Linked DNA regions of Oryzias latipes. The protein of the gene in region 5 binds, or shares a complex with, the protein of the main gene of each other region. Links are inferred from orthologs where the notes say so. Each region holds a gene or a part of one and is shown on either strand. Other genes may lie near its edges.

Region 1 (6,243 bases), on a different chromosome or scaffold from region 5:
CGCAATGAGTATTTTCACGGAATCTTCCAAACTTGGGGGGGAAATATTAGCGACAATAGAGTAATCCTTTGGTGCCTCGAGTGTGCGCGAACTTCTGCCCCCGTGGCAGCCGGGGTGAGACCTCAGGACAGCTGTTGCTGACGCAAAGGCGCGTCTTGGAGTGAAACAGGAGGACTAGCTCCAGGTATGATCAGGTTCAACAACAGGATTAATCCCCACCGGTTCCCACACAGCTGGTCGTGTTTGCAGTCACAAGACAGCCAATGAATGAAGGGGGTCCAGTCTGAAGGGCTGTTGCTGCCACTGTGGAACCTCACCATGCACCTTCACAAAGCTCTTCCTGCAGATTAGAAGTATTTTTTTTTTATCCTTAAAAGTTTCTGGTTATACAAAATGATTGTTTTATGTATAAATTAACACACTGGGAAGATTTCCAACATTTATGCATATCACCTATTCTTGGGTATTTGTGTTGTGATTTCTTTAGAAAATATGAGGAAAGTCCCACCAGCAGTGTTTTGGTCTGTGATCCTGACAGATAATTGAGTAAAGACAATACATGTTCAATTTGACCACTTTGGATCATTTACTGACAGACATAATAAGTAATCTCCAGACTGTGACCGAATGCCCTCTTACATTTGCACCCCCAAAGGGAGACTGGGTTTGATAGTTGTTAAAAATATACAATTAAAAACTTGACACACGTTCCATAAAAGAGAAGGTTAAAATAAAGACAGTTGGACCACACTCCAGCACCGCATGAGGGAGGCTGCCTCCAGGATCGCCTCGGCCCCACTGCACCGGTGGGTAGCCACGACGACCACCACCAAGGGAGATCTCTAATCCAAACCCTCACCAGGAGTACCTGCTCAGGGCCCAAATTCACACAAACACACCACAACCCAAACAGTGATTAAAAGAAAATACAAAACAGAAGAGGTGCAACTGAGCAGGACACCACTAATTTGTAGGCCGGAAATGGGGGGGGGGGGGAAATCCCCCTTACACAATACTACACATGGCACCCACCAGCTACCGTAAGGATAAAGGGAGGAGGCAGCCACCTCCAGCCAGGTCCAACCACCAAGAGACTAAAATGAGCAAACAGTTTAAAAAAATGGATAAGAGCAAGGGTGTCAAGCTTGATTTAAACATTAAAAACACTAAGCAAAACAGCAGTGGCAACTCTGCTGGAAAAAGAAAAATAAGTTAGTTCTCCCTGGGACAAATACATGTTTACAAACCCTTATGTTACCGCTCATGCCCCAGGGTCAGAACTCATGCCACCACCTGTTAATATAAATAGAATTTAAAATGTTGCAAACTCAAATGCTTAAAAAACTTTTGTAAAAGGACTCAAATGATTAAGCTTTAGCTTAAAAAAAAAAAAAAAAAAAAAAAAAAAAAAAAAAAAGCCCACATGTCAAGCTCACCCACCAAGGCCAAACCAGCATCTAGGTGGAACTCACAGCTGCTATTTATCAGCCTCATGAGCCAATCACAGCTCAACAGACAGGTGCTGGCCATGAATATTAACCTATGGAACACCACGAGGGACAAACTACCACCCACAGCCCTGTCTGTCATATAACGATAAAACAGGGATAAAGAGGGAGTTTCCAACTGAGGTCTGTTTCTAACAGTTTGTTTAAAACAAGGTTTTTTTTTATAATGAGACTGCCACTCTGTAAATAACAGAACCAAAAAAAAATCCAAACAATTGCAAAAATCCCAGTGCAAGAAATTGTAATGTAATATGGAGGGGAAAAAGATGAAAAATATATATAAGACATTCTAGACATGTATCTTTCTCAGTTATTATAAGTGGCAATTTCTCCCATTTTTCTACTTAAACATATTACCAAATGGCCCACTTTTTAAGGACAGAACAGTTTATCATAACAGTAGATAAAGCCATTGACTGTACAATAGGACATTATGTTTTAATATATCTATTATGCAGTCAGTAAGACTAACAGGGTCTGCGCCACCTAGTGGTAAAAATTTCGTAAAAATGCACAAATCACATTTTTCTTTGAGTGTGAATATAGAATCTTCCAACAATTTTATTTCTGCTTTTATTAAATAACTATGTAGTAGCATCTGCACCATTTAGATTAAGATAACTATTAGTTTTATGAATTCCTTTTTTAACATAGTCTTTTGAATTATTCCTCCCCCAATTTCTGACATTCTGTGACTGATGTCTCTTTCTGCTTCATAACACATTGAAGCAAAACTTGTAAAGATGCAAAAGAATTTTAATATTGTTTTATTGAGTTTAACTACTGGAAAGCAATTTAAAACACATCTCAAAATGATCACTTTCTCGTCAAAATATTTAATCTGTTTCACAAATACTATTTTGTGCGTCTGTGTATGGGTGTGTGTATGAATGACAATGAGGTTTTTTCACAAATATTTCTTTTTGTCTGTAGTTTTTTTTGGGGGTGTTATTAATATAATTGAGGATTATTATTATTATTATTATTATTATTATTATTATTATTATTATTATTATTATAAAAATCATCATCACCATCATCATATTTATAGTAGTAATAACAATGCCTGAAACAACCAATGGTTGCATTATAGAAATGACATCGAATACAAAGCGGAACTAAAAAACGGTTGGGAGACTTTAAACTGTGTGGGACCGTTACCACGGAGATGCAACCGTCCGCATAAAACAGTAAAATACGGTAATTTCCGTGTTAATTTTGGCTAATTTGTGCAGGTTTTATCCATAAAATCGCTTTCAGGTCATTTTTGTTCGTCATTATTGCCTTAATAGCTCCGAGCCTCCATATTTGCTCTGTAGATAAACAATCAGAAAACGTGTAGCATGATGGATTCGGAGTATCTTAATAAACATCTGGGGAAATGTTTGGCTGAAGGACTTGCTGAAGTGGTTGAACGGAAACCCGTGGACCCTATCCTTTATTTGGCCCACTGGCTGTACAAGTATAACTCAAATACGCTGTACGAGAAGAAGGTGAGTCGTTTTGTTGTTTTCACCAGCAGGGGGCACTAAAGGATGCAAACACAAAAGTTGTTGATTTACAGTGTTTTTAAGCATTACGTGGTTTACTTTTCCGTGTTTTCCATTTACAAAACGCTATAAAAACATAAAGTGATTGCATATATCATAATTTTTTTGAAACGTTGTCTTGCAAATGCAGTGCTGAATTAGAAACTATTAGAAAAGTGTGTAAACACACCAACCATAGTGTCATTTTTTTTTTAAAATGATGGATCTAGATTTTGCACTCCAGCTGCTTCTGATTATACCCATGTTGTTGCATGCCGTCAAACAGGTTTTAAGAGGATAACAGTGTTAGAGCACGTAAACTCATTATGCTGCAGGATGTAAAATAAGTAGGGCCTCAACAACAAAGACTCACCTTTTACCTTTAACACAGAAACTGTCTGTACCTCTACTGACACACAGCTGAGCCCTACTTAAAACAAAATGAAAGTTTAAACATTTTATGGTTTATATAAGATGTATACTTGTAAACTTTAGACTTGTAAGCTTAGATTTGTTCCTGTATCACCTTTGTATTTGCAGAAGAAGGCAAGTCTGGCTCTGCTGGATCAAGATCAGGAAAAAAGCAGCCAAGAAGCATCACATCAGGAAAATCTCACAGAAGAGGAGCAGATCAGTAATGCATCAAAAGGCACAGAGAAAGTACTTTCTCACTTTCTATTGCTAACTTAAAAGTATTTGATTTTAAACATCCTGAATGCATAGCTGACATTTTTAAAGACCTACTCTAACCATCTTTTGATCTATTTTCACAGAATTCCCAGTGGTCTTGTAATTCAAATTCAACTTTACTTGTGCACCACTTTTTCGACTACAAAGCCTCTCAAAGTGCTTTCCATAATAAAATAGATAATTGTAAGATAAAAAACAGTAGTTAAAATAGCAAACATAGTAAAAATAATAATGATAAAATAAAATTAACAACATTAAAACACATACAGACCCAAAACATACACATCCCACAGGTACAATCAAAATGAAGCGCATCAATTGCTGATAAAATTTATAAAATCTAATGAAAACATGTTGACAAGTAAAAACTACATAAAGGCTTTACTAAAAAAATGAGTTTTAATTTTTTTCTTAAAAACCTCCACAGTGGATGAAGCCCTCACCTGCCTGAGGAGACGTTCCACATGGAAGGCCCACAGTACTGAAATCAGGCCTCGTCGTGGGTTTTTGTTCTGACTTTTGGGACCACCAGCACACCTCCACCTGTGGATCTAGGAGGGTCATAAACTAAAAGTAAATCTAATAAAAAAATGAGGGGCCAACTCCATTTAAACTTTTAAAAACAAATGAAAAGAACTTTAGAATCAATCCTAAAGCTGACTGGGACCCAGTGGAAAGATTTCAAAATATTTCTTTATTTTTTTTCTTTAGCACTGCAATAGCCTGGTTTGTTTAGTCACAGGAACAATTCAAGCTGGCCATCTCACCATTTGCAGGAAACGTTCCCAGCTAGGTTAATTCACAGCTTTGCTGGGCTCAGGTGAACGTCGCGTCTGCGACTATGATTGTGCCGTATCAATCAATTATGAAGATTTTAGTCAAAAATCTAAAATCTGTGGTTTTCCGGGACATAGTTTCTACAGAGCAGTAGTAGTTCATCAGAAATATGCCTCTGATTCGTGGGTGGTTTGACCCCTTCCCCCCTTACCGGTACCAGTATTTTGAAACCCTCTCCCGTTAGCTTACAGCCCCTCACACCCACCTAACATGACTGGTGCAACAGAAATGGTGAGCAATACCGGAGCTGTTCAGATGTACAGTTTTGAACCACATGCCAGCTTGGACGAAGAAAACGCCGACGTACCTGGATACATAACAAATATGATCTTTTTCAAACTGCATTTTTTTGTTTGCTCCCAATTAACAACAATTTGAAAAAAGAGGTACTTAAAAATACAATTTAGAGCTTAACTTTCTTTTCATATTATGTCCGCCATCATGACATCTTTTGAATATCAGGCCATTGTTTTTAACAACATGTTAAAAACACAGTTTTCATCAGAGTGGGTCTTTAAAGGCCTAAAACTTTAACCCCCCTCTGAGGAGCCACAGATTAGCTCAGACACTAGAGACAGACGCTGAGACAGACAGCACTATTCAATAGTTAAGCATCAGGAGGCAAATGGGCAGCGCATGAGGGAGGCTGCTGATAAAATCGACTCCAGATGAGTCACGCACACTGCAGAGACAGAATTAAGGAATCTACTCCAGCGTTACAGGCAGGATCTGCACATTGATTCTTAAAAAATGCTGTATAATACAAGTTTGAAATACATTGCAGTCTGCTTTAATAAAACAAATGCTTTTAATAGTTCTTATGTTGAGCTAAAAGTCCTAAAACTCTTCAAAAAATGTGTTTTTTAAATGTAATTTCTTTACTTTTTCTTAGACTGATGATGTGGAAACTGAGAAACTTGAAGATGTCATCCGGTCCTCGTCAGTGCTCCAGAGTGAAGATGCTCAACCCGATGAGACAATTCACCATGAAAAAAAAGAGGAAGACATAACTGACCGCAACCATGAAGAAAAGGAGGAAGAGATGAGAGAAATCAAAGCAAGTCCATCTCCTATCGGTCTAGAAAAGGTAAGTATTTGTTGTTTTTCTCAAATATTTGGTACATCAAAATGTGTGTTCAAAAAGTACAGAAAGGAGCAAACGTTTGCTGGTATTTACTGGACACTTTATTGCAGGAGGCTGCATGATGGAAATTTTGGACCAGTAAGTCATTGGAAGGAACCAGAAAGTCATCAGAAGACTGCCGGAATATGACAGCAATGACGGATCACAAGATAAATAAATAAAAAGTGCTATTTTTTTCCTGATATCTTTGTTTAACATTTTGATATTTTATTTTATTGGAGTAAATTAAAAATGAGTTAATATTGTTTTTGTTATTTAGATCGTATAAAAAATTGCCACCTCACTGTTTCACAATAAGCATGAAAGGACAAATATTGATTTTTGTAATTTTATTGTCTTTTATGGCTTGTTCAAGAAGTGTTCAAAACTTTTAATAAAGTCATTTTAAATTGAAAAAAAAGCTGTAGCTATTATTAGACTGCATATTTCAAAACTGCCCATCGCTCTGCCTTGTTTCCACATTTTACTTGTGTGTCACAATGAGACTGCTCTGTTACTGAGCTCAAAGTTCAGAAGCTACATCTATACTAAATCT
Region 2 (6,351 bases), on a different chromosome or scaffold from region 5:
AATATTAGTGCATTACAATATTGTAAGATTTATGTATGCATAGATCTATTAAGGATCTGCCATTTAGTTTAAGATGTGGACTTGGGCCATTTTCATCGTCTAACTTTTACTTTCTCTAATACTCTGTCATAGATTTGATGTAATGCCTGGAAATTATGATGATCAATGATCCAGTTCGAGCCGAGCTCTAATTGTTTTACAGGAAACTTTGCATTGAATCTAACGTACATAACTGATGTATTAGCTCTGTGGTAGTGGTAACATGCTGTGTGATTTCAAAAAAGAAAATATTTACTAAACAAGAATATTGCTTTTGCAGTTTATCTGGTGTTTTGCAACCATAGAAACTCACGCTGCACTAGCCGCAGGGGTTGCAAGCCAGTTGCCTCTGTGCCGGTCCCAAGCCCGGATAAATAGAGAGGGTTGCGTCAGGAAGGGCATCCGGCGTAAAAATTGCCAAAATAACCATGCGAATCATCCACAACACTTTAGACATACCGGATCGGTCGAGGCCCGGGTTAACAACGACCGCCACCGATGCTGTTAACCTACAGGGTGTCGGTGGAAATTTGACTACTGTTGGTCGAAGAAAGAGGGGAGGCAGAAGGGTCCGGGGCCAGAGAGAGAAGGGAAAAGGCAGGAACATAGGTTTGAGAATAGGGACTCTTAACGTTGGCACAATGACAGGGAAAGGCAGAGAGCTGGCAGACATGATGGAGAGAAGGAAGGTAGATGTACTGTGTGTGCAGGAGACAAGGTGGAAGGGCAGCAAGGCACGTAGTATTGGAGGAGGATACAAACTGTTCTATCATGGTGTTGATAGGAAGAGAAACGGGGTAGGAGTGATTCTGAAGGGGGAGTTTGTAAACAGTGTTCTAGAGGTGAAAAGAGTCTCAGACAGGATGATGAGCCTAAAGTTAGAAATTGAAGGGGTGATGGTGAATGTAGTCAGTGGGTATGCGCCACAGGTTGGCTGTGAGTTAGAAGTGAAGGAGAGATTCTGGAGTGAGTTGGATGAGGTCATAGAGAGTATCCCCAGAGGAGAGAGAGTTGTTATTGGAGCAGACTTTAATGGACATGTTGGTGAGGGCAACAGAGGTGATGAGGAGGTGATGGGCAGGTTTGGTGTGAAGGAAAGGAATCTGGAGGGACAGATGGTGGTGGACTTTGCGAAGAGGATGGAAATGGCTGTAGTCAACACTTACTTCCAGAAGAGAGAGGAACATAGAGTGACATACAGAAGTGGAGGTAGGAGTACTCAGGTGGACTACATCCTATGTAGACGAGGTCATTTGAGAGAGGTTAACGACTGCAAAGTGGTGGTAGGAGAGAGTGTAGCCAGACAGCACCGCATGGTGGTGTGTAAAATGACTCTGGAGGTCAGGAAGAAGAAGAGAGGGAAAACAGAAAAGAAGACCAAGTGGTGGAAGCTACAGAATGAAGAAACTTGTGAGGAATTTAGGCAGAAGTTGAGACAGGTCCTGGGTGGTCAGGATGAGCTTCCAGATGACTGGGAAACTACAGCAGAAATTATCAGGGAAACAGGTAGGAAGGTGCTAGGTGTGTCATCTGGAAAGAGGAAAGACGGTAAAGAGACTTGGTGGTGGAATGAGGAAGTACAGGAATGCGTCCAGAGGAAGAGGTTGGCTAAAAGGAAGTGGGATGTAGAAAGGACTGAGGAAGGTAGACAGGAGTACAAGGAAGCGCAGCGTAGAGTGAAGAGAGAGGTGGCAAAGGCCAAACAGAAGGCTTACGATGAGCTATATGACAGGTTAGACACAAAGGAAGGAGAGAAGGACTTGTACAGGCTAGCCAGACAGAGAGACAGAGATGGGAAGGACGTGCAACAGATAAGGGTGATTAAGGACAGAGATGGAAAGGTGCTAACAACTCAGGAGAGTGTACAAAAAAGATGGAAGGAGTATTTTGAGGAGCTGATGAACGTGGAAAATGACAGGGAAAGAAGGGAGGAAGATGTGGTTGTTGTGGAGCAGGAAGTAGCAGAGATTGAAAAGGATGAGGTTAGGAAGGCTCTGAAAAGGATGAAGAGCGGAAAGGCCGTTGGTCCTGATGACGTACCTGTGGAGGTATGGAAGTGCCTAGGAGAGACAGCAGTGGGATTTCTAACAAGGTTGTTCAATAGGATTTTAGAGAGTGAGAAGATGCCTGAGGAATGGAGGAGAAGCGTTCTGGTTCCGATCTTTAAGAACAAGGGTGACACGCAGAACTGCAGCAACTATAGAGGAATAAAGTTGATGAGCCACACAATGAAGCTGTGGGAAAGAGTAGTGGAAGCCAGGCTTAGGAAGAAGGTGGAGATTTGTGAGCAGCAGTATGGTTTCATGCCCCGTAAGAGCACCACTGATGCCATTTTTGCTTTGAGAATGTTGATGGAAAAGTACAGAGAAGGTCAGAAGGAGCTGCATTGTGTGTTCGTAGATTTAGAGAAGGCGTATGACAGGGTGCCGAGGGAGGAGCTGTGGTACTGTATGAGGTCGTCTGGAGTGGCAGAGAAGTATGTCAGAGTAGTTCAGGACATGTATGAGAGAAGTATGACGGTGGTGAGATGTGCTGTAGGTCAGACAGAGGAGTTCAAGGTGGAGGTGGGACTACACCAAGGATCAGCTTTGAGTCCTTTTTTGTTTGCTATGCTGATGGACAGGCTGACAGACGAGGTAAGACAGGAATCTCCCTGGACAATGATGTTTGCGGATGACATTGTAATTTGCAGTTAGAGTAGAGAGCAGGTGGAGGAACAGCTAGAGAGGTGGAGGTTTGCTCTGGAAAGAAGAGGCATGAAGGTCAGTCGTAGTAAGACAGAATACATGTGTCTGAACGAGAGGGATCAAGGTAGAAGCGTTAGGTTACAGGGGGATGAGGTGAAGAAGGTGCAGGAGTTTAAGTATTTGGGGTCAACAGTTCAGTGTGATGGGGAGTGTGGAAAAGAGGTGAAGAGGCGAGTGCAGGCAGGTTGGAGCGGGTGGAGGAAAGTGTCAGGAGTGTTGTGTGACAGAAGAGTGTCAGCAAGACTCAAAGGAAAGGTGTACAAGACAGTGGTGAGACCAGCTCTGCTCTATGGGTTAGAGACGGTAGCAGTGAGACAGAGACAAGAGGCTGAGATGGAGGTAGCGGAGATGAAGATGTTGAGGTTCTCCTTAGGAGTGACCAGGTTAGACAGGATAAGGAACGAGTACATCAGAGGGACGGCTCATGTTGTCTGTGTTAGGGACAAAGTCAGAGAAGCCAGACTGAGATGGTTTGGACATGTTCAGAGGAGGGATAGTGGATATATTGGTAGAAGGATGTTGGAGATGGAGCTGCCTGGCAGGAGGGCGAGAGGACGGCCAAAGAGGAGATACATGGATGTCTTAACAGAGGACATGAAGTTGGCTAATGTTAGGGTAGAAGATGTCCATGATAGAGTGAGGTGGAAAAGGATGATTCGCTGTGGCGACCCCTGATGGGAAAAGCCGAAAGAGAAAGAAGAAGAAACTCACGCTGCACTCCAGGCAAGCAAGTCCATGGGCTGCGTTCGGATGGCTGCTTTGGCGAAATTTTTGAGGATATCTGGTAGTTCTGGTGGAATGTTGATCTGCTCGGCACAGTACAGTGTGTCTGGAAGGGGCATGGCTGAAATACGTGCACTGTAGTTTGTCGGCCAGCAAGTACTAAACAAAAATAAGAAATTAATTGTATTAGTAATTTTTAGTTAGTTTAGTAGTTTGGTATGAATAACCCATTTATTTCCCTTCCAAATAAAAACATTGCATTAAACAAACAATAATTGAAGTGTTAACAAAATGCAGAAATCCCTTACTGACTACGTCACGACATCTTTGCAACATTTAGCATGTGCGTGCATCACACATACGTTTAAATTAAGTGATAATTATTTATAGTGCTGAGAAAAACAATCATATTACGTTACCTGGAAAAATATGTAGACTGTAAATAGTAATAAGCAAAAAATGCCTTAAAATGTTCACCAAAAAATCGTAATTGCTGTCCTTCTGATTTACGCCACAATTCGTGTCCGTAAACTGACAGTTGTATATTACCGTCGCATGGCAACAGAATTCTTCTTCTGTCGCTGAGGTCAATGGAGCCGCATGTGCATATCGCCCCCTGCTGTTTTAGAAATGTTACTACAGAATGTCATTGACCCTTGTGCTATCCTAGGCACTTTACCATTGGGAGTTGGGTCATCTAGACCCACTAGACCAGGGGTCGGGAACCTTTTTGGCCAAGAGAGCCATAAACGCCACATATTTTGAAATGTAATTTCGAAAGAGCCATACAATAATGTAGTGTCCCTTTCCCACACTGAGGCACGGAGACTTAACCTCTTTTAAGGTTCTTTATTCGGGTTACTGCAGACCGCGACAAACGCCGAACAATTAATTCAGCAACTCCTGAATCTCTCCCGCCGAGACGAGACGAGAGCGCGTCTCCCAACTTTATATTCCCCTGCTCCCGCTGCAGCCCTCCCCTTTCCCTTATTCGGCCCATAGCTGAACCCCATTGGTCCAAACTACCTAACAACAGGCTGAGCGACAGAACTGAGAGCCAATCAGCTCTCTGCTTGATGCGGTCAATGAACTCCAGAACTTTTAACGCGGCCCAACAGCCATCCAACTCAGTCCGCGACAATATGTTTAAAACTAAAATACAAGTGAATGTGTGCATTTGATGTAATTTCAACCTTTTTAAAGTACAATAAGTCTGTGGATTCTTTTTAATAACATTGTTATGCTGTTTCTAATAAATGATGAGTATTTCTCGTGGTAGTTTTGCTGATGGTCTAGTCTGGTTTACGTGGTGAGTTTCTGCTTCATGCAGGCGTTGAGACTTTAAACGTGATCTTAGGTTGGTATGAATGTTTTGTAGATGTGAGACAGACTGCTCACATGCGGACCTGGAGCCAAACACACACTCACACGCTGCAGTGAGTGACAGGCAGTGGGTTTTACCTATTTACAATCCCTGCGCGATTCACCTGCTGCCTGTCCCCACAACACCTCAGCCCCACCCTCTGCTTTCTCCCTCACACATCCCGTCCCCGCAACTGCGCGCTCTTTCTCAGAGACGGGAGCGCGCAGTTTTAGGCACGGCAATTCACAGGTTTCCGGGTGGTACAAACTCTGTGAATTAATAGACAATTTTAAACTTATACTAGTGCTGGCGCAGGAGCCAGTTTAGCTCATGCTGGTTTGCGGCGCCTTCCATCCGTGAAACCCGAGTTCGACTCCGGGCTGCTCCCTGTTCCCTTCTCTACCTCTGCTGGTTCCAAGCCCAGTTTGAGAAGGTTGCGTCAGGAAGGGCATCCGGCGTAAAACATTGCCAAATTTACCATGACCCCTGATGGGAGAAGCCGAAAGTGGAAGAAGACTAGTGCTGGCGCAGATTTGTCTCTCTAAGCACCGCTACTACTGCGCGCCTCTGCCATCGCATCGCGCACGAGAAGGACTGGTCTAATGAAGAAAAAAAATTTGAATTAAAGATTTGTCTGCGAGCCACATGTGACCATCAAAAGAGCCATATATGGCTCGCGAGCCTTAGGTTCCCGACCCCTGCACTAGACAGTGCTCTGAACCTTTTTATCTTCAATGATTTGTGATCTTCACTGGTGGATTACATGAAATCTTTCCACCTTTATCATGGTAGGGAGAACACATCAATGCAAGGGTGGGGTCATCTAAGATAGTACAAGGGTTAAACTGAACATGCATTATTCTTTGGCACAGTTCACTACTGATCTGAAGGTTTTTCTTTAGTGTAACTATAAGTACGTAGATAAAAAGTGTGTGTCTATATTCTAAAGGCCACAATTGTGTGATCTGATGCATCAATTTAAAGAACTGGAATTCAACTCAGTTTTATTTATATAGCCCAATATTACAAAACAGTTGTCTCAGTGGGCTGCACTAATTATACAAAACATAAAATCTGTTATAAAATAGAAAACTAAACAGACTAAGCTAAACTGCCTCTACACCCTGTGTCTCGGTAAGGAAGGTCCAAGTGTTTGTGTGTGGAAGTGTTTTTGAACACAGTTGAACAATATTTACCAAATTTGGTCTTCTTTCTACATAGAGTTCCGATCTTCAATTTCAGGCTACTAAAAGGTTGCATGTGCATATATATATGTCCATATAAGCCATGCAATATGCATGAGACAGACTCATAGTGAAGCAAGACCATCCATAAGCAAAAAAAAGTTTATTAAACAGCATCTTGAAGATACAAGTTTCCACAGACTGATTAGAAAAGAGACAATACGACTACCAACATTTGGTAACCAAAGCGGCAGGGGGGGGAATAATCCCACAGAAAAAGAAGAATAGACATCAA
Region 3 (6,180 bases), on a different chromosome or scaffold from region 5:
TCTCTGCTGATAACCGCCAGATCGTGTCTGGCTCTCGGGACAAGACCATCAAGCTGTGGAACACTCTCGGCGTTTGCAAGTACACCATTCAGGTGAGCTGCCGGATAATGCTGCCTCTTTGTAGATCTTATGACGTCCTTATCCGTGCTGCAGGATTTTATTGACTTTGAACTCCTGTGAAGAGTTGACATGACGGTCAGATCATGAAGTTAAGCAAATTAAGTCGCTAACCTTCAAAAAGAAAGGCTTTACTGATAATCTCGTGCTTGTAAATTTTGTAAATTTATTTTAAAAAATCACATAAGCATTGACCTGTAATCAAATAGATTCCTGTAAAACCGTATGTGTTTGATTTTGCAGGATGAAGGCCATACTGAGTGGGTGTCTTGTGTTCGCTTTTCTCCAAACAGCAGCAACCCCATTATTGTCTCCTGCGGCTGGGACAAGATGGTCAAGGTTTGTACTTCCGCTTCCCTTCATTTGCCATTAGATTGATTTAAAAACAATAGAAAAATATGCTCCATGATTTTAAAGAAGTTTGCATGTATTACCTGACCTGGTTTCTGATGAGAAGCTTTGTGGATGAGAGCACGTCTCCACAGTTTTATCTGGTCTTTTCATGTCAGTGTAAACTTGACGGTCACTGTCTGCTGCTGTTTCTATAGGTGTGGAACCTGGCGAACTGCAAGCTGAAGACTAACCACATCGGCCACACTGGCTACCTGAACACGGTGACCGTATCTCCTGACGGCTCCTTGTGTGCATCCGGTGGAAAGGTAAGCTGGTTCAGTTGGAGAACTCGACTCGTATACTTGTGAAGATTTTTAGTGATGGCACACAAAGGCCGACCTCCAGGTGTCAACTGTGATGGATAAATAACACATCATTCTGTTGGTAAACAATTGATGACAAAAGAGGCTGTTTCTGAGTGACACTGAGTCGTAAAGCCACGCTAAATGAAGATCCAGAACAGAGCTGCTGTGTGGTCATGGCTTATTTTCTTGTTAATGTTCTCTCAATCAGGACGGCCAGGCTATGCTTTGGGATCTGAACGAGGGCAAGCACCTGTACACCCTGGACAGCGGCGATGTCATCAATGCCCTTTGCTTCAGCCCCAACCGCTACTGGCTTTGTGCCGCCACTGGCCCTAGCATCAAGATCTGGGTGAGAGCTCCTACGTGATGATGTGGAACTACTGCTGAATGTGGTTTGATGGGCCTTGATGAAACTTGAAAATGCTAACTGTATTGCTTGATGATAACAGAGGCTGTTTCTGAGCTCCAGACTAATTAGCTTCAGTCATTTCTGTACATTGCCTGTTATTTTGAGTTGTTTTAGTCATACGGTAAATGTTTATTCTGTGTGCAGGATCTGGAAGGGAAAATCATTGTGGATGAGCTGAGACAGGAAGTGATCAGCACAAACAGCAAAGCCGAGCCCCCACAGTGCACCTCTCTGGCATGGTCTGCTGATGGACAGGTATTCAGCTCCTCTTGACATAAGTACAAGATGGGGCTGTTGCTAAAGCTAGTCTGTCCTTCTAACCCCCAGTGATTATACCCATTCACTATTAGCTCTGATTTTGACTGCTGACAGTCCTGCAAATATGAGGGGAAAGGACAAAAATCAAGGCTATAATCAATGTATTTAATGGTTTTTGTGATCAGTAACTTCCATCCTTCATTTGCTTGCAGACCCTGTTTGCTGGTTACACCGATAACCTGATCAGAGTGTGGCAGGTCACCATTGGAACCCGATAAGAATCCATCGCTGCATCGACTTTAAATAAAAAGACTGTTTGAAAAGTTGTGTGTTGGTCTTAACTTTAAATATTTTACTTTCACGCAGATTGAGTTTGTCATTTTAGAAGACTGCTCATAATCAAAGTTTTACTTATAATATTGATGCAAGATCATTTAAAAAGCTAGTTAACAAATTTAAGTTTGAAATGTTGAGGTCTACATTGAATCATGAATAAAGTTAATTGTAGGAGTGAAACATTTGAATTGATTTATATTCCTATGATCCATCCAGATTGATGCATGTGGCAAGTTAATCAAAACACCCCAGACCATTATAAAATCGTTTAGAAATGAAATTAATCAATACTGGAAACTGCCTTTTGGATTGAAGCATGGGTTGCAGCAAAAACTGATCATTCCACTCCAATGTGCAGAAATACTTAATTTTGCAAAGATGTGACCATCCAGTGTGGTAGAATGTTCTCTTTGGATTAGGTTGATGTGGAAAAACAGTGGGCTCAACTTTATGAAACTAAAATGTGAATGGATTTGACATTAATTCTTGTTTACTAGTTTTTTTGTACACAATTTAAACTTATCTTGTAGGAAATACAAGGTACCAGGTATTTATCCGAGTCACACTGAAGTTTTGGCTAAAGATCTCCTGGATCCATTTTAGGTCAGTGAATCGGATCATTCAAACTGAATCGATATGAATCAGCAACCATAAATATCGAATTATTGCTAAAATCTATCATTACACCCTTAGTTTTCATTCTTAAAGGCTTCTCACGTGGCAAGTAGGAAATAAAAGAAGTTTGTCCCTCCTCAGCTCCCGTACTTGTGAAATGGTAGCGTAGCAACCAAAACAGCGCAGGGGTATTGAATTGGTGGGACGAGGAGGACTTCTTGTCGTTCCTATAAAAATCAGTTTTACTTTGCGTGAGACAGAGATGGAACTTACGCATTTAGGCGATCAAATTCGTGTAGAACGAACACTGGCGATCATAAAGCCAGATATCTATGAAAAAGCCGAGAAGATCGAAGGTTTCATCCTTCAGTCGGGCCTCACAATCCTGCAGGTTAGTAAATCACTGATGCGCAAACCTACACGTCTGAGAACTGAGACTATTTACGTTTAGAAGGAGTAGTTTTCTGTGTGACCAACGTTTAATTAACGCAGTGGACACATGTCTACTGCCATGTGAAGTTTATTAACAATAAAAATAAAGGTTTTTTTTGTTGTTGCTAGAAGTATAAATAAAATGCTGTGTAGAAACTGTTTATTTTTCCAAAATGTAACAAGAACTCACACACAGTGGCCAAATGAGCAGTGAGATCATTTGGCCACTTGAGGGCGCTAATCCAAACAATTCGGTGAGCGAGCTAAAGTCATTTCTGACACAATTAGCCCTTGTGCTATCCTAGGCTCTTAAACATTGGGAGTTGGGTCATCTAGACCCCACAATACAGTGCGCTGAACCTTTTTTCTTCAATGATTTGCAATCTTCACTGGTGTCCATGAAATGTAGGATGGCACAAGGGTTAGAGATGCAGAAGACAAGAAGTTTTTTTTAAGGATGGTACAAATAAAATTTCTCAGTCACGTGAAGGAACAGTAATGTATTAACCTACAAGATCTTCTAGCTTTCAGAGCAAAAAAAGGTTAGTGGTTTCATTATAACTGCAGGTAAACGTCAGTTTTGAACAGCCTACTCTAGCTGTTAATTCATGTAGGATGTTTGAAAATCATGAGGACATACGTGTTTGAAAAAAACCTTTCTGTCAAGTTTAAATAGTCATCTCTCCTGCCATGGTTCTGCTGTCCGTTCTCCAATCCTGTTAGAAGCGAAGGCTGCAGCTGAGTCAAGAGCAGTGCAGTGACTTCTACTCAGACTGCAGCGGAAAACCTTTCTTTCCGAGCTTGATGGCTTACATGAGCTCCGGCCCGATCGTTGCCATGGTGCTGGCTTGTGAGGATGCTGTCACACGCTGGAAGTCCATCATTGGTCCTGCCAGCATCACAAACGCCAAAGAAAGTCAGCCAGAGTGGTCTGTTTCATGTTTATTTGTGTTTATACCGTAACAGAGGAGTACATTTGTATTTATCAGTGTAGATTTTTCATTTCATTACATTCATAATAGAATAAATTTTACTATGACATGTCAATGAAGAATATCTGGATCAGAGGTCTGCAACCTGAGGTTCCAGAGCTACATGCAGCTCTATTATCCCTCAATTGTGGCTCTTTGGCTTTCAAGAAAAAAAGCATACGATTGTAATATATCATGCTTTTGTGGTTTTGGTTCTTTTTTTTCTCTCGTTAAGTTGTCAGTTATGCTTAGATTTTTATCTCAGATGCCCATACTGATGCAGATAAAGCACATTTTCCAATCTTCTGCTGTACCACAGTGTCTAGTTGCTGTTCAGAAGCAAAGTATTCAAAGTAAATAATTGTGTTTACATGTATGGATCTAGAAATAATGATGTCATTAATATATTTGATAGTATTGTAAAAGGTAAAAAAGCAAGACTGTGCACCAAAGACATATTTGTAAAACATGCCATGTTTGATTTGCAATTTTATTAGCCCTTTTAATTCTGTAAATCTGCTAACTTTAAATCTGCTTTAGCAGATGTTTGTATTTTATTTTGAAAATGAAATTGTTGTGCAGTTCTTAAAAGTAAAATAGATGTGATTAAACAATTGATTAAAACTATGTCATATATATTTTTCACTTTAATTCAGTTATTGTCGATGCTATAAAGCTCCATGTTGTGAATGAATGGCCACAAAAGCATGAATAAGGAATTTTTCCAAACTTGTGAAGTGGGACTTTGCGGCTTCTACTGTGTTTTTCTCAGTAGAAAATTAGACCAAGTGACTCTTGTAGCTTAAAAGGTTGCAGACCCCTGATCTAGATCTTTAGTCTGATGATATGGCTGATTTTCTCCAGTCTTAGAGCGAAATATGGAACTTCTGACCTGAAAAATGCTCTTCACGGCAGTGAGTCCTTTCAAGAAGCTGTGAGGGAGATTAAATTCATGTTCCCAAACTGTAAGCTGTTGTTTCTTTTTTACACATTTTGTTGTCTATAGGGCTACTACAACAAATACAAAAACATGTAAACTTGTTTTAATCCTTCACTCACAACTAGACTGAATTTCTTTTCTACCAATTGTCACCATTCTCTTCGTATTTAATGTATAATTTTATATGACTTAATAGATGTTTCCTGTTTCTCTCTGTAGCTTTCATTGAGCCTTCCCCTTCAAAGCATGAAACCAAGGAATACCTGAGCAGGTGTCTGAAGCCGGTTTTGCTTCGTGGACTCACAGAGCTTTGTAAAGAAAAGCCCCTCAATCCTGTTGTTAGTTTACTCTATGCAGATTTTTCTTTTTATTGATTAGTAGCATTTTCCTGTTATTTAATTATTTATTTATTTGTTTTTATTTACAGATTTGGCTTGCTGACTGGCTGCTGCAAAACAATCCGAATCAGCCTCAAACATATTTCTAACTCTTGGATGATATCAAAATAAAAGACTCAGGAAGTTCCAGATGTATTCAATTTATGTACCACTTTCTATGAATAAACACACAACTTTCAGCTGTGTTTGTGCATTAAGTTTGTTTTGTGACATTATCAACTAAGTTTTGTTCTAAATTGTATTCGAGTGTTTTTTCTAACATACTGAAAGCTTTTATATTTTTTAAGAATTGACTAGATGAATGTGCTGCATTTGAGTTGCGTCGAAACTTGTGAAAACGGAAGATTTTCGATCGTTAATCTCGCTACGGAAGCGTCATTTTTTAAGTAGAAAAAACACTTGATGTTTACAACATTGTCGCCGTCGTATAAAGTGTTCATCAAATTACAATTACAACAGGCATAGAAAAATGTAAACAACCTTAATAAAGTTAAGTAAAAAAAAAACAATAATACAGAAAAATACAAACTTAAATAAAAAAGATTAAGATAAAATTAAAGAAAGGGGATACATGGGCGTTGTAATGATCATTCATTTAACTGATATCAGTGAACGCCGCACTTCTTTTTTTAAACTCCTTCCCCTCGTCTGCGGGGCGGAAACGAGTGGTGTTAAAAAAATAGAGGAGAGAGATTAACTCTGGTGTGATAGGTTGATTTGTGATTGACAGTCGGCCTTGTCCAATCAGAAAGCTTCTTTGGAAAAATGTCAATTTTTTCCCCCTGCCGGTTCCAGAAAACCAACCATGAGTTTCTCGTCGCGTGGGAGAATCCATTTTGAAGAGAGCTCTCCGGCTGCTAGGCTTGTAAGTAGACTGTTATAATTTTTTTTTTCATCATAACTCGACGCAATCGCAATTTTACCTGCATTCTTTGTTTGTGTTTTAAACGGTTCTCATTATATTGATTACAGAAGAACGATATTTCATGATTTTAATAATTTTCAG
Region 4 (6,012 bases), on a different chromosome or scaffold from region 5:
AGAAAATCCATTTGAGTCCAATTGCAATCAACAGAAAACTGTTTCATTGATCATGAATGGAGTCAATCACAGGGTCAGAGTTTGCATGTCCTGGCTTATTGCAGGAGTTTGCTGATGAATGGGGTCGATAACTAGCAGCGTGTCTTCTGGCTGGACTTTCATTTCTGAACGTGCCGACAGGCAGTCGAGCAAAATCCACGTGAAAGCTCTGAAGGACAACCGGCATAAAAAAGCACTTCTATAAAATGAAGATTTCCGTTTGGACTTGGATCCATCTATAAACTCAAGTGGTTTATTATGAAAACACGATGTTTGAGTTGGTTTTTGACGCTGATCGGAAAACCCGATAAGGCTAAAGTCGGAGATAAAACAATGGCACAAGTGCTCGTTTTTAAACTTGACACATTGAACATTACATACATTTTAGAACAATAAAAAATAATTTAAAAACAAATAATCACAGCTGTAGAATCTACCGTGTTGTACTAACCACGGGACTCACCACAAGCATGTGATCTATTTGCTAATAAATAGCAATGGCGACTCGAAATGTCAGTATCATGCCTTCTATAGGTTTTTTATTGTCTGCATAGTAAAAAAATGTTAGCTGCATTGAGTTGAAATGTACGGCAAGTAAAAGCAGACAAACTGCATTCATTGAAACTTCACGCTAGCTTCTGCGAAGTTGCGCCGCGTGAAACTAATCCACCGCACGTGCAAACAGGCCCTCGCAGTTAAACGCCTTTACTCGGTAGTCACTTTTTCTTTCAAACGCAATACTTCATTAAACTCCAGAATTATTATTTTAAAAAAACTTACCCAGAGTTAGAGGCGCATGTTGCCTTAATGGAGTTGATCCGTAGCTTGTTAGCGACGTCTTTCAGCCCCTGCAGGGTCTTCTCGTCGGGCTTGTGATAGTTAGCCATGTTTATTTGGACTTGAAAGGGACGTTAATGAAAGTGAATTTAATGTGAGTTGTTTTAACTGCAGTGCGTCTCGGGTGTCGTGGGTTCAGTGCTACTCCACGCCGATGCTAGCTGCCCCAATGCGAGCCTGAGAGGAGGGGAGGGGACGACTGAAGGGGAGGGAGCAGAAAAAGGCAATCCTATTACGTCAAATCGCGCTTTATTTGAGAGGCTGTTACTTAACTCCTTAACTGTTCATCTTCAAAGACGTATTTAAAGTTTTATCGTTAAATTTCATGTTAGGAAATCTCAATAAATTCCACAGATAACAATAAGACCGGTGACAGATATACCATATGTACACAAATGCATCACGGTGCAGCGTGAAAATGTTATTGAAAACTGTCAAAACTGCAACAAATTAAACATATATATTATAATATAGCTGACATCCATTAAACAGTTAATTAGAACATGCAGGTTATGCATTAATAATGTTTCACATACGTTTTTTTTATGTTACTGTCCCTTTAAGGTCGCAGGTGGACGTCAGCCAACTAGGAAGTGCGGTCAGATTTTGCCCTCTCATTCTTACTCAGGGAAAAATGTATGACAATGCATGGATTATAAACCAGCCCCACCTTTAATCCTGCAACTACATGTTGTGTATGTGATTGTTCTTGTTAAGACAAAAAAAAAAAAAAAACACTTCACAAGGCAATTTTTTTATTGTAACAATTTGGAAAGAAAGCTTTTCTAAAATCAAACTTGATGTGCAATCACGATCATCATCTCTTGAAAGACCTGCTTTTTATGCCCAGCACTTCCTCTCACAAAGATCTTATGAAATCTTATGGCTCAGGTACTTCCTCTTCCTCGAGTTCCTGAAAAGATAGAAATGTCCTTTTTTTAAAAAAAAAAAAAAAAAAGGCCAGAATATGTGATCTGATCACACCACAAAAATATTAAGCATTTACTCTGATTCTCATCTGATTGTCACCCCTCTCCGCAGGTGTCACAGGCTCCTTGTCGAGTCTTTTCAGCTGCGGTAAAAGTGTCAACACATTGGGGCGATAGTCTGCTGTTGCCACCAGCGGGTTCTCAGAAAGAACCAATGCTTGCAGGCTTTTTGCCACAAGGCCAATGCTTTGCAAAGCTTTTTCCTCTGCAATTAAATTGCCTCTAAAAGATGGAAACAAACAGAAAATATGAACTCTTAGAATTTTTGTAGGTACCACAATGGGTCTCTCACCTTCTTACACATACCTGACATTTAGATACTGAAGACACTTCATGTTGGGACTGAGGCCTTCTAGAGTTTCTAATTTATTATCTCGAATATGAAGGATGGCGAGAGACTCTAACTTGTCTAGACCTTCAAGATGCTTGATCCCATTATCAGCCTATGAAAAAGGGGAAAAAAAGGTAATAGCAATTCTAATCAATATTTTGATATATTGTTGTAAGGAATAGTGGTACGGTATTGGAAGAGCATAATTTTAGTGATAAGAACTTTCACAGATATTAGTCATTTTAATAAAATAACAGCTTTTATGTACCAGATATAATCGTTGCAGATTTGGAAGGTTGAGGCCATCAGTGGTTTCCAAATGGTTTCCTCTCAGCTCCAGAGTAAGCAGATTTCCAAAGCAGCTAGTTTGAAAACAATGCAGCGACTGAATTTTGTTTCCTGAAAAAGAGGTCACTGTGTCACTTAAAATCTATACTAGGCTTTAAATGTTTAATATTTCCAAAAATGTGAGATAGAAAGTATTTTACATCGTAAATATAATTTTAAAATATATATATATATATATATAATTTTAAAAATTAGATTATTTTAAATTTTGGAATACAGATTAATCAATAACCTGTAAGATTGAGGCTCTCCAGGGCGGGCCCAACCAGGCCATCGGCATCATTTAACTGATTTGCTGCCATATTTAGCCTTTGCAGATAGATCAGCTCAGCAAACGGTTGTCCTCGGAAGCTCGCCACATCATTTTTGTCAACCTGCAGTTTGTCGATCATTAAGAATGTACAGACAACCCATTATAACTATTGGTGCTGTTTGAAGGACCATTTTAAAACCAGAGGCTCACCACTAAATCCTTTTACCTCTCAATCATAGAGGAAATTAGAAACAATTCAGCAATTAATGTCATTTCAAATGAATGAATCTGCCACAGAAATGATCAAGACAAATCTAAATAAAGTAGGCTACCTTCAGCCACAGGAGCTGCTTTAGGGAGGCCAGAGGAGAAAGATCAGTAAGGCTGTTGTTGGATAAATCCAATAAACGTATGTGAATGTAGCCGCTGATCGCAGCTAGATCATTTAATTTCCTGTGAAGTAGGTAGTAAAGAAAAATCCATTAGAAGCTGATTGGGTTAGTCAGTCCAGTTAAAATGTGTTTTGTCTGCTTACATGTTATTGAGGTTTAATTTAATAAAAGCATGTCCAAGTCTGTCTACTGTCCTGCACAATAATGAAAGTCCCTCTTTTATTATGTCTTTGGTCAATGTGTGTGCTTGAGCCTTTAAAAAAACAAAACAAAAAAGCTTTATTTTAATGAACAGAAGTTTTGAAATTCATTTCAGTAGCTGTCAATGCATTACTGTAGTTTACGAATGAACTTTTTTTTCCTCAGTTTCTGTAAAAATCAATGTGTGTTTTTTTTTTTTAACGGATTTTTGTGTACCTTATCGCCTTCTCCTTTCGCATTAGTTGTTTCCTCCTCATCTTCCAAGTCCGACAGTAGAATTTCTTCCTCCATAGCGGGATTGAACCGACTTTAAGCTAGCCAACAGGCTTCCAGCATTCGGTACGACGATAAGCAATAGTGCAGTTTTACGCGGAAATGAGTGGAAACACGAGCAATTCAAAGGCTCTATTTTCCGATAATATTTAACAAGGATTATGGTTAATTTGGGTATGGATGGTACGAGCTACACCGAACATACCAAATTCTAATAGCGTTACCATGGAAACTCCACAGCAACAACTAACCCCAACTTCGGGTAGGGCCAAACTTAATGACAAAAATTGTGAAATACTAGTAAACAAAAGTAGACGTTGGTCAAAATGTAACATTTTTTTTAATCTATTTTACACTTGCAGTATTTAATTTTTTGTAAGTGAAATTAAAAAGTTAGTTTAGCAACTGCGACTACCAAAAATATGAAATAAAAAAAGTATGTTCATATGTAACCAAAAAAAGAAAACATTGTTTGTAGAAAGCGACTTTTGCAGATACTCAACTTCTGCAAAAGAACGTTTTTTTTTCTGCACAACCAATTAAGTAAGTGATCATATTAAAAAAAAAAAAAAAAAAAAACAACAACACAGACACACAAAAGTGTTTCCGTAAAAACTTCTGAAATATACACAGTTTATGCTGGGACCCATCATTTATTAAATGACAGCATATTCTTAAAAAACAAATAAAACTATATGGTACAGTGACTGAAAATTCTCATTTCATGACATTTAGACCTGTGTAGAACTTTCCTTTTTCTGAAAGTAAGTGATTCTGAATTCACATGTTTAATTCACACAAACTGAAGCAAGAGGAAATCCTAAATCACACAAAAAACAAGCAAAAAGGTGCAATTTGTGCAATATCTTGACATGTACTGCTACAGGATCAGTCCAAAGAGGTGCTATGTTCTTCAGACTCTAGTATCGTCAGACCAAAATATATTTTTCTCTGTCTATGTAATGGGGAAGAGTGAAGTGTTTTGCAGGTGAGCTTGTCCTTTCTGGATCAGGAAATTTACATGTGAGAGGTCACTCTATTTCTGTATTATGCAGTAGAAGACTTCTTTTCACTCCTCCTTGCAACATTCGTGCTCCAAGACTAATGCCGGTGATGCCTTCACTATACAGACAAGGAAAGGATATAAAAAATTAGGCAACACACCTTAAAAAAGTTACATTATTTGTATTAAGTATTGAGCATCACTGACTTACAGAGGGTTAAACTTTCGCTTCCTAGAATCTGGAGGTTCAAGTCTCTGCAATGTCAAAACACAAGTAGAAACTGCATAAAACCACTCAATATTGAATGCATGTATTGTTGTACAATCCATGCACATGAACTGACCAACCTCTCTGCTTACAGCATCCAATTGTTTTTTTCTCTGCTCCAAATTTTGCTGTAAACAAAGATACAGACGCAGGACAAAATGTTCAAACGTGAAAATAAAGATTTTGGTCAATTTCTTTTTCTCATTTAGTACACGAAGACACGTGTAACAGACCAACGCTTTTTGTTGACTGTCTAAAATCTTTTGTTTCACATCTTTATTGGCATTAAAATGGAATAAACGTACCTTATGCAGTTCTGAGAGCTGCTGATGCCTTATGAGCGCCTCTTTGCTTGGAAACTGCCTCCTACATAGCAGACAGGCAAGTTTAACCCAGTCTGTCATTTTTCCCTCCTTATCTTCTTTATCTCCTTCTTCTTCGCTGTCAGTTTCTGCGCTGTAGGCTGGGACCAGGCCGTGCTGTTGAGGAGGCGATTGCTACACAAAGAGTCAAAATCAAGACTTTACGATGATGATGAAGTGCAAAGCAAATACATTGAATCTCTTAACTGTAAAAAACAAAATGACGTTATAAAAAGTATGATTAAACACTAGCAAATATTCTACATCATTGCTCTTACTTCTGTGCTTTGTCGCAGTTGGTCCAGAAAACTTTGAGGCCTTTCTGACAGTGCCCCCTGTAGGACAAAAAAGAAAATGTAAATAACCATCCAGTCTTAAGTCCAAATGCATTGTGACAGACATATCCCCTTAAGCCAAGTGTGTACGTTGGCCTCGTGCACCTTTTTCTCTAGTACAGCGTATCCTGCATCTGCACTTGCAGACTCCCTCTGATCATCCAAGCGACTGTGGCCTGGAGCCCGAGTGTATCCAGGTGGGAGAGAAGTGGACCCAACGGCAGACGAAGAACCAGATCGCATGTTCTCCTTTTGTCTATTGAGGCTTTTGGCCCAGCGTTCCATATCTTTTGCAATCTAAAAATGCAGACCACAAATACGTCAAAATCTTCTAAGATGTGTACGTCAGTTTGTATGTGATCTTATTGACGATATCATAAA
Region 5 (6,151 bases):
ACACTAGAGGCTCTGATCGTAGGTATCTGTTCTACAAAATAGTTCAGAGTTTTGTTGCCCTCTTTGACTCAAACCCTCTTTTGTGCCGTAGATGTTAGCATTGGCACTCGGCTGCTTGCAGGAAGCACCACAGGTGCCATGGCAGTTGCTTTAGCTCAACCCACAGATGTGGTAAAAATCCGCTTTCAGGCACAGACCAGATCAAATGAGCACACCAAACGCTACTGTGGCACCATCGATGCTTATAAGACCATTGCTAAAGAGGAAGGTGTGCGTGGCCTGTGGAAAGGTAACTCAAGAACCTGAATTGTTTGTATGGTTAGTCTCTGACTAACCTGGTTTATCACACAGGTACTGGTCCAAATATTGCACGCAGTGCTATAGTTAACTGCACAGAACTGGTGACGTATGATTTCATTAAGGACATGCTTCTCAAATCTACTCCCTTGACAGGTAAACAGTGGTTTAGTACAAATGTTAAAGGTAATGCTTGAGTGATGTCTGTGTGATTTGAAACTGATCTTTATACTACAGACAACCTGCCCTGTCACTTTGTGTCTGCATTTGGTGCTGGGTTATGCACGACAGTGATCGCCTCTCCTGTCGATGTGGTCAAGACGAGGTACATGAACTCTGCTCCAGGCCAGTACGGCAGCGTGCTCAACTGCGCTGCTGTCATGATGACCAAAGAGGGCCCCTTTGCCTTTTACAAAGGGTAAGCATGGATTGTGTTTTACCTGAATGTTTAATAAGGATGCACATTGAATACAAAGAAGACAATCATGTTGCTCTCGTGTTCTCACTTAAAAGGTTCATGCCATCGTTCCTCCGCCTGGGCTCCTGGAACGTGGTGATGTTTGTGACGTACGAGCAGCTGAAACGAGCTATGATGGCTGCCAATCCCAACAGCTCGACTTCAGTGTGATTATTGCAGTTTACATAAGGATCATTCACATGTCTATCAGCAATAATTTCAAGAATCTTACAGTATTAATCTGCATATCAAGGAAGAATAACAGATGAATCTAATCTTCATAGCCAGAGCTCAGAGCCTGCTTGATCAGGCCCTTGCTGTCAGAGGAAAGCTTTTCTGGAAACTGGATCTCAAAGGTGATGATGAGGTCTCCTCTCTGGGAAGAATCCTGGGATAGGGGCATTCCTTCTCCTGTCACCACCTTGTTGTACGCTGGACTGATGTGTTTTCGACGATGCAGAAAAGAAAATAGCACATTACCTTGACCTGATTATGTAACATTTTTATAAATAACTTAAAATTTTTTTGTTGTGTTTCCTTTCTCTGATGCTAAACGTCATGTCAAGTTTACAAAAAAACGGAGTACTGCATTATGCAGAGCTCATAGTAAATTTTTCACTTGCAGCACGCAAAAGCACTTACTGCACAATGTCATTGATAGGAATGCTGAGTAGCCTGCCATCTAGTGTTGGGATGTCCACAGAGAAGTCGGTCAGTGCCTGTTCAGATAAGAATCATCATCAGTCTTAGCTTCAGATGAAAACAAACAGTTACAACGCCATTACATTACTTACATTCATCAGAGAGATCTTGAGCTTGTAAATAAGGTCGTTGTGTTGTCTGATAAACAGAGGGTGACTTTTATGTCGCACTATTAGCACTACATCTGCTGGAGTCCTGTCTGGTCCCTAAAAAAGGTTTGATAAACATAAATAAACAATATGGGCATAAAAGGCAATCATATTAGAAAATCGAAATACTTCGGGAAAATCAACCTATACACGGCTTTTACTTTTTTTTTTAACTAAAAAAAGCAAAAAATAAAACAATTTAATTAATAAAAGAGGATCCTATAAGAATTCAGAAAAACAATGCTGTAGAGACTTACAAAACTGTGCCTTTTCATTACTAAAACTACTAGTATTAATAGAAAACAAAATACACAAACAGAATGCCGGTGATTTAAAATGAGCAAAGAGAAGGTCACAGGAAAGGAATTTTACAAGTTTTTAATGCTTCTTCGTCATATGATATTCATCAATACTAATCATAATTCATTTTATAATGTGAAACTATTTAAATGTAATATTGACTGATAAGTCAACCAGTGAATGTTGCTTATAACCAAGGGTAATTTCTTTATAACATCGAGTAGAATTTACCTTCTTAAAATAGTTAATCTCTTTCATTTAAACAATTATCATCCTCATTTTCATTATTAGTAATTTTATCCCATTTTCACCAGGAACTCTCACACACATTTGGTGAATTTCACAAATTGTTTGAAAACAATAAAACAAACCAATAAAAACACAAATATGATTGACTATTTTATATAGAAAATCAACTAAAATTTTATATAAAGTAAACGAATTAATTGAAAGAAAACTACCCAAAAATTTGTAAGTAGTAGCTAATTTTCAAGAAATAAAAATAAAAATGGTTACAACACACTCCTTATTAAAGCAATTTCAATTTTAAGCAAGATATATAGATGGATTGATTGATTAATATTAGGACGTTTTGCGGGGTTATGGGAGTTATTGTAACAAACACCAATAGGATCATATTATTATGACATAAGCTGACACCAAGAAAAAATAATATAAATTAGTTTCACGTGAGTTTTGATACATAATAAAAAGTTTCTTAAAGACTGAATTTACTTGATCTCCCTCTTTTGGGAAAACGACTCTTGTGCCTTCGCGCCATCCTGGCTTCACATCTACAGTCAGAATCTTATCTTTGATACAGGATGTGTGTCCATCATCATTCAGAACCTGTAAAGAAAGTGAGGATGAGGAAAACCTTAATGAACAAAACTATTGTAACTGTTTTATTAAATAATGAAAATGACTTCCACAAAAGTTGTTAGTGTTAGAATAAAAATTACCTGTGAAATCATTTTTCAAAATAAAAGCCTTAAACATGTGGAAAGTGTGGCTTCGTTTGTCCCAGAGATTTTTTTAAGTAAAATTTTTCAAGGTTTTGCCATATACCAAAGTTGTTTAACTTTCTTTGCTTTCTCCGGGTTAGGGTTAGGGTTTTGAATGCAGCAGATCTTACCCTGCGTGATATCTTGATTTTTTTGGTGCATCCCAAGAAGAGATCCTCAAGAGTCAAATAAAGCTCTCTCTCTATTGGGGGGTCCTGCGTCTTCTCCAGTTTTGTTTGCGGCACACCAAACTGAAGTGGTGCATCTTTGGTGAAAAAATCTAGCAAAAGATTAACATTAGTAATTGCAATGGATAGGTTTTCAAGACAGTATTTATACAACGTGGGGTTTTTGTTTGGGCTATTCTTACCTGCAAATGGGTTGTCACCTCCAAAAAACTGTCTAAATGTTTTGTCTGGATTTCCATGGTAGGTGTATTTGGATGACCAAGCCCCATCACTGCCAAACTCAGGTGGGATGCCAGCTTTCAGGCCCTCCTCACCAAATTTATCATAGATTGCCTTCTTACGAGCTTTAATTAAAAAGGGAAAAAAAATTACTTCTTCGTAAGTACTTTTACATTTATTTAGAGATTATTTTATGCTATTCTTAAATTCCTGCAAAGCTCTGAAGAACTGAATGCTAAATGCAGCATTTTTGTCATAACAATATTTTTAAAAGGTCACGTGAGCGACGGAGCAGCCCGGTAAAGAACGTGAACCGTGAAGTCTTACGGTCGCTCAGGACATCGTAGGCTTCACCCAGCAGGGAATACTTCTCTGCGCTTCCAGCTTCAGCGTTTCTTTTCGGATGAAACTTCACAGCCAAACGTCGATACCTGCGCAGATAATAATTTCATGACTTGATCCAAAACAAGCAAGCAGCAAATAGAAGACAGAGCTAGCAGCAGGTGATTGATTTCTTTAAAAGTAACTCACGCTTTTTTGATTTCAGCGTCAGATGCTGTCCTGTTAATTTCAAGAGCCTCATAGTAAGCGTTGTTCAGGCTCATTACGATAAAACCCTGACGGCAAAAACCTATATGTTCTCGACGAGTTTTTTTTAGACAATCCGAAGAGAAGTCCGTACGTTTGGGTTCGCTGCCTTGGCAACCACTGATCGGACCTCTCGCGAGATTTAAAATGAATCTGAATTTGCTGGTATATTCAACTGTCTTGACCAGTGGCGGTTCTACCCTGAATTACTCCCCGGGCGAGACCCTCCCCCGGCCCCCCCCCCCCCCCCCCCCCCCCATAGTCACAACAGAACTTTGTTTGTCTTTGTCAACTGACATGTTATATTGTCATTGAAATTAAGAAGTGGATACAAAAGATGTCAGAATTCTGAACAGCATTATAATAGTTATCAGAACACAAAAAATAAAAGACCATAAGCATGGCAAAAATACAGTTAGCTAAGAAATATTAAATCAATATTAAATAAATAATATAAAATAAATATTTTAAAAACATTTATGAATTGGAAATTTAAATTGTCATGTTCTATATCGATCTCTACTTCAGAGAAGAAAAATTAGCTCATATTTTCCGTCTTCAATCCTTTGATTGGAAAATTTTCAGTTATGACCTGTTGAATTATGTTTTGTCCCCATAGATTTGCAGTAAATGGTAAATATTCATTTTTAAAACTACCTTCAGATTTATGGAAATTCTATTGGCTAAAAATATAATCCCACATTTGTAAAACAAATAAAAAATAAACTTCATATGCAGGCTCAAAATTAACCCCTAAATCCCCAGTTAAATGTCAAAAAAACATTGGGAAAACGTTTAGGCTGCCACAAACGATTATTAAATTTAAGACCAATCTCAAATTATTTGCCCCATTAGCATCTTATGGCAGCAGCAGCATGCTGTGTAACCATCACAGCTTTTTTAACATTATGAACTAGTATACAACAGCAAAACCCAACAAAACCTTTGTGTTACAGCAGAGCAGACAGACACATGAATCATAACTAATGTTACAAGTTAAGGCAGAGCAAATTTTTAAGAATAAAATCTAAAAAAAAAAAAAAAATGACGCTATTTGCAACATTTGGGCCTACTTCAGTGTTGGTCATCGACCAAAATAAAGTTTTCATCGGCAACATTGTTGTAGGGCAGGTAGCATTAGAATTTAGAAAAGACATGCATCAAGCTGTGAGGACTTACCCTTTTCTTTATCTCTTTTCTCCTCTTCTTCTTTTCTTTTCTTTCTAAATTGGGCACCAGATGGCTTTGACCTTTTTTTCTCCATATTTTAGATGTTTTTGGCGTTTGTTTGGCATAAATGTCCTCACGTCACGAAGAAGACATCAAGTCCGTCGACTGAACCAACTGTCACCTTAGTGACAGCATTGTTTTGTGTTGCCATTTTTTCATTTGGGCATTTAACACAAAATTAACCCAAAAAAAGCAGAATATATTTTCTATACCTTTATTAAAGTGTAGGTTATAGAATGTCACCTTATGACTGACTTATAAAAAGGTTTTATGAAGTAGATTCAAACCCCCGCCCTTGTCCCCACCTAGCCACTTAATTTGGAAGCGTCCCACAATTGAACTGATTCCCCGCAGCCCCCCCCCCCCCCCTTTCTTCACACATTTCCAGCAGGAGCGCGTGCAGCTATAGCCAGGGGCGCTGATTCGCTACATGACGGCGCAGTCGCAGTTTTTACTTTTATTTTTTTCATCAAGCCCGCGACCGTCGCCTCCCCTGAAAGATGAGCCCGCCAGGTTTTGCGCATGCGCAAACGCGGTGGCGCTCCGTGCTCCCCCCGCGCCCCCTCCCTTCTTCTTCACACACATTTGTGTCTACTTCTCAAAGACAGGAGAGCGCACAGCTGCGGGGCGAGGGCGGCGGCGCGGCCAGGTTCAGGCTGTTACAAACTCACAAACTGTGACATAAGTAAACCAATAGTGGTGCATATAATATTTTACAAGGGCTGAGCCGCCGGTGCCGCCCCCCTTCAGTTTTCCGCCCCAGGCCACCGCCCGGACGGCCCGTGCCTAGAACCGCTACTGGTCTTGACATAAATAAACTAAAATAGTATTTCAAAATAATAACACACACAAACAGTAGAGACAAAGAGACCCTTAATCAAATAAAAAACACGAAGACATGTAAAAACTACTTAAAATGCTAGCTAAACAACGAGTTTTTCATTAAAACCTCCACAGTGGAGGAAGCCATAACATCCTCCAACAAGCTGTTACACAGTGCTGGAATGTGGCCTCGCC

What was found.
Region 1: dnajb13 (region 5) and DPY30 domain-containing protein 1 share a complex: the UniProt entries of both Homo sapiens proteins name them as parts of the axonemal radial spoke complex. The link is inferred for Oryzias latipes from reciprocal best matches to the Homo sapiens genes DNAJB13 and DYDC1.
Region 2: dnajb13 (region 5) and ropporin-1-like protein share a complex: the UniProt entries of both Homo sapiens proteins name them as parts of the axonemal radial spoke complex. The link is inferred for Oryzias latipes from reciprocal best matches to the Homo sapiens genes DNAJB13 and ROPN1L.
Region 3: the proteins of dnajb13 (region 5) and nme5 are in contact, whole or in part, in a cryo-EM structure (PDB 8WZB), measured with the Mus musculus proteins. The link is inferred for Oryzias latipes from reciprocal best matches to the Homo sapiens genes DNAJB13 and NME5. Residues at the interface, in NP_705755.2 of Mus musculus: Thr156, Lys157, Lys158, Thr181, Ile182, Asp183, Arg185, Trp188, Arg189, Gly191, Thr192, Arg193, Ile194, Thr195, Phe196, Glu197, Pro281; in NP_542368.2 of Mus musculus: Glu52, His53, Asn56, Met193, Lys199, Pro200, Lys201, Leu202, Cys203, His204, Phe205.
Region 4: dnajb13 (region 5) and lrrc23 share a complex: the UniProt entries of both Homo sapiens proteins name them as parts of the axonemal radial spoke complex. The link is inferred for Oryzias latipes from reciprocal best matches to the Homo sapiens genes DNAJB13 and LRRC23.

What each region holds. Positions count from the first base shown.
Region 1 is NC_019877.2:16,025,595-16,031,837, reverse strand, and holds DPY30 domain-containing protein 1, read left to right. Parts: upstream 1-2,640; 5' UTR 2,641-2,708; exon of another isoform or gene 2,709-2,768; intron 2,769-2,827; 5' UTR 2,828-2,851; coding exon 2,852-3,001; intron 3,002-3,577; coding exon 3,578-3,697; intron 3,698-5,456; coding exon 5,457-5,651; intron 5,652-5,758; coding exon 5,759-5,770; 3' UTR 5,771-5,890; downstream 5,891-6,243. UniProt on the Homo sapiens protein: Functions as part of axonemal radial spoke complexes that play an important part in the motility of sperm and cilia. Plays a crucial role during acrosome biogenesis.
Region 2 is NC_019878.2:13,556,626-13,562,976, forward strand, and holds the start of ropporin-1-like protein, read right to left. Parts: upstream 4,082-6,351; 5' UTR 3,929-4,081; intron 3,669-3,928; 5' UTR 3,629-3,668; coding exon 3,498-3,628; intron 1-3,497. UniProt on the Homo sapiens protein: Functions as part of axonemal radial spoke complexes that play an important part in the motility of sperm and cilia. Important for male fertility.
Region 3 is NC_019868.2:17,074,963-17,081,142, forward strand, and holds nme5 (nucleoside diphosphate kinase homolog 5), read left to right. Parts: upstream 1-2,573; 5' UTR 2,574-2,695; coding exon 2,696-2,824; intron 2,825-3,588; coding exon 3,589-3,794; intron 3,795-4,700; coding exon 4,701-4,801; intron 4,802-4,995; coding exon 4,996-5,114; intron 5,115-5,203; coding exon 5,204-5,263; 3' UTR 5,264-5,359; downstream 5,360-6,180. Other genes in the region: rack1 (receptor of activated protein C kinase 1), read left to right, coding at 1-92, 361-456, 666-776, 1,024-1,164, 1,369-1,479, 1,695-1,760. UniProt on the Homo sapiens protein: Functions as part of axonemal radial spoke complexes that play an important part in the motility of sperm and cilia. Does not seem to have nucleoside diphosphate kinase (NDPK) activity.
Region 4 is NC_019865.2:13,825,514-13,831,525, reverse strand, and holds lrrc23 (leucine-rich repeat-containing protein 23), read right to left. Parts: upstream 3,947-6,012; 5' UTR 3,682-3,946; coding exon 3,607-3,681; intron 3,443-3,606; coding exon 3,333-3,442; intron 3,251-3,332; coding exon 3,130-3,250; intron 2,919-3,129; coding exon 2,777-2,918; intron 2,596-2,776; coding exon 2,465-2,595; intron 2,309-2,464; coding exon 2,172-2,308; intron 2,088-2,171; coding exon 1,883-2,087; intron 1,790-1,882; coding exon 1,757-1,789; 3' UTR 1,615-1,756; downstream 1-1,614. Other genes in the region: transketolase, read right to left, coding at 820-926; RNA-binding protein 10, read right to left, coding at 4,695-4,785, 4,878-4,921, 5,015-5,062, 5,240-5,431, 5,575-5,631, 5,737-5,928. UniProt on the Homo sapiens protein: Essential for sperm motility and male fertility. Plays an important role in the proper assembly of the third radial spoke (RS3) head and the bridge structure between RS2 and RS3 in the sperm flagella.
Region 5 is NC_019872.2:16,412,837-16,418,987, reverse strand, and holds dnajb13 (dnaJ homolog subfamily B member 13), read right to left. Parts: upstream 4,043-6,151; 5' UTR 3,922-4,042; coding exon 3,848-3,921; intron 3,748-3,847; coding exon 3,644-3,747; intron 3,442-3,643; coding exon 3,280-3,441; intron 3,190-3,279; coding exon 3,041-3,189; intron 2,755-3,040; coding exon 2,641-2,754; intron 1,663-2,640; coding exon 1,549-1,662; intron 1,474-1,548; coding exon 1,397-1,473; intron 1,281-1,396; exon of another isoform or gene 1,192-1,280; coding exon 1,026-1,191; 3' UTR 926-1,025; coding exon of another isoform or gene 811-925; 3' UTR 727-810; downstream 1-726. Other genes in the region: ucp2 (mitochondrial uncoupling protein 2), read left to right, coding at 1-18, 92-289, 352-453, 535-715, 811-925. UniProt on the Homo sapiens protein: Functions as part of axonemal radial spoke complexes that play an important part in the motility of sperm and cilia.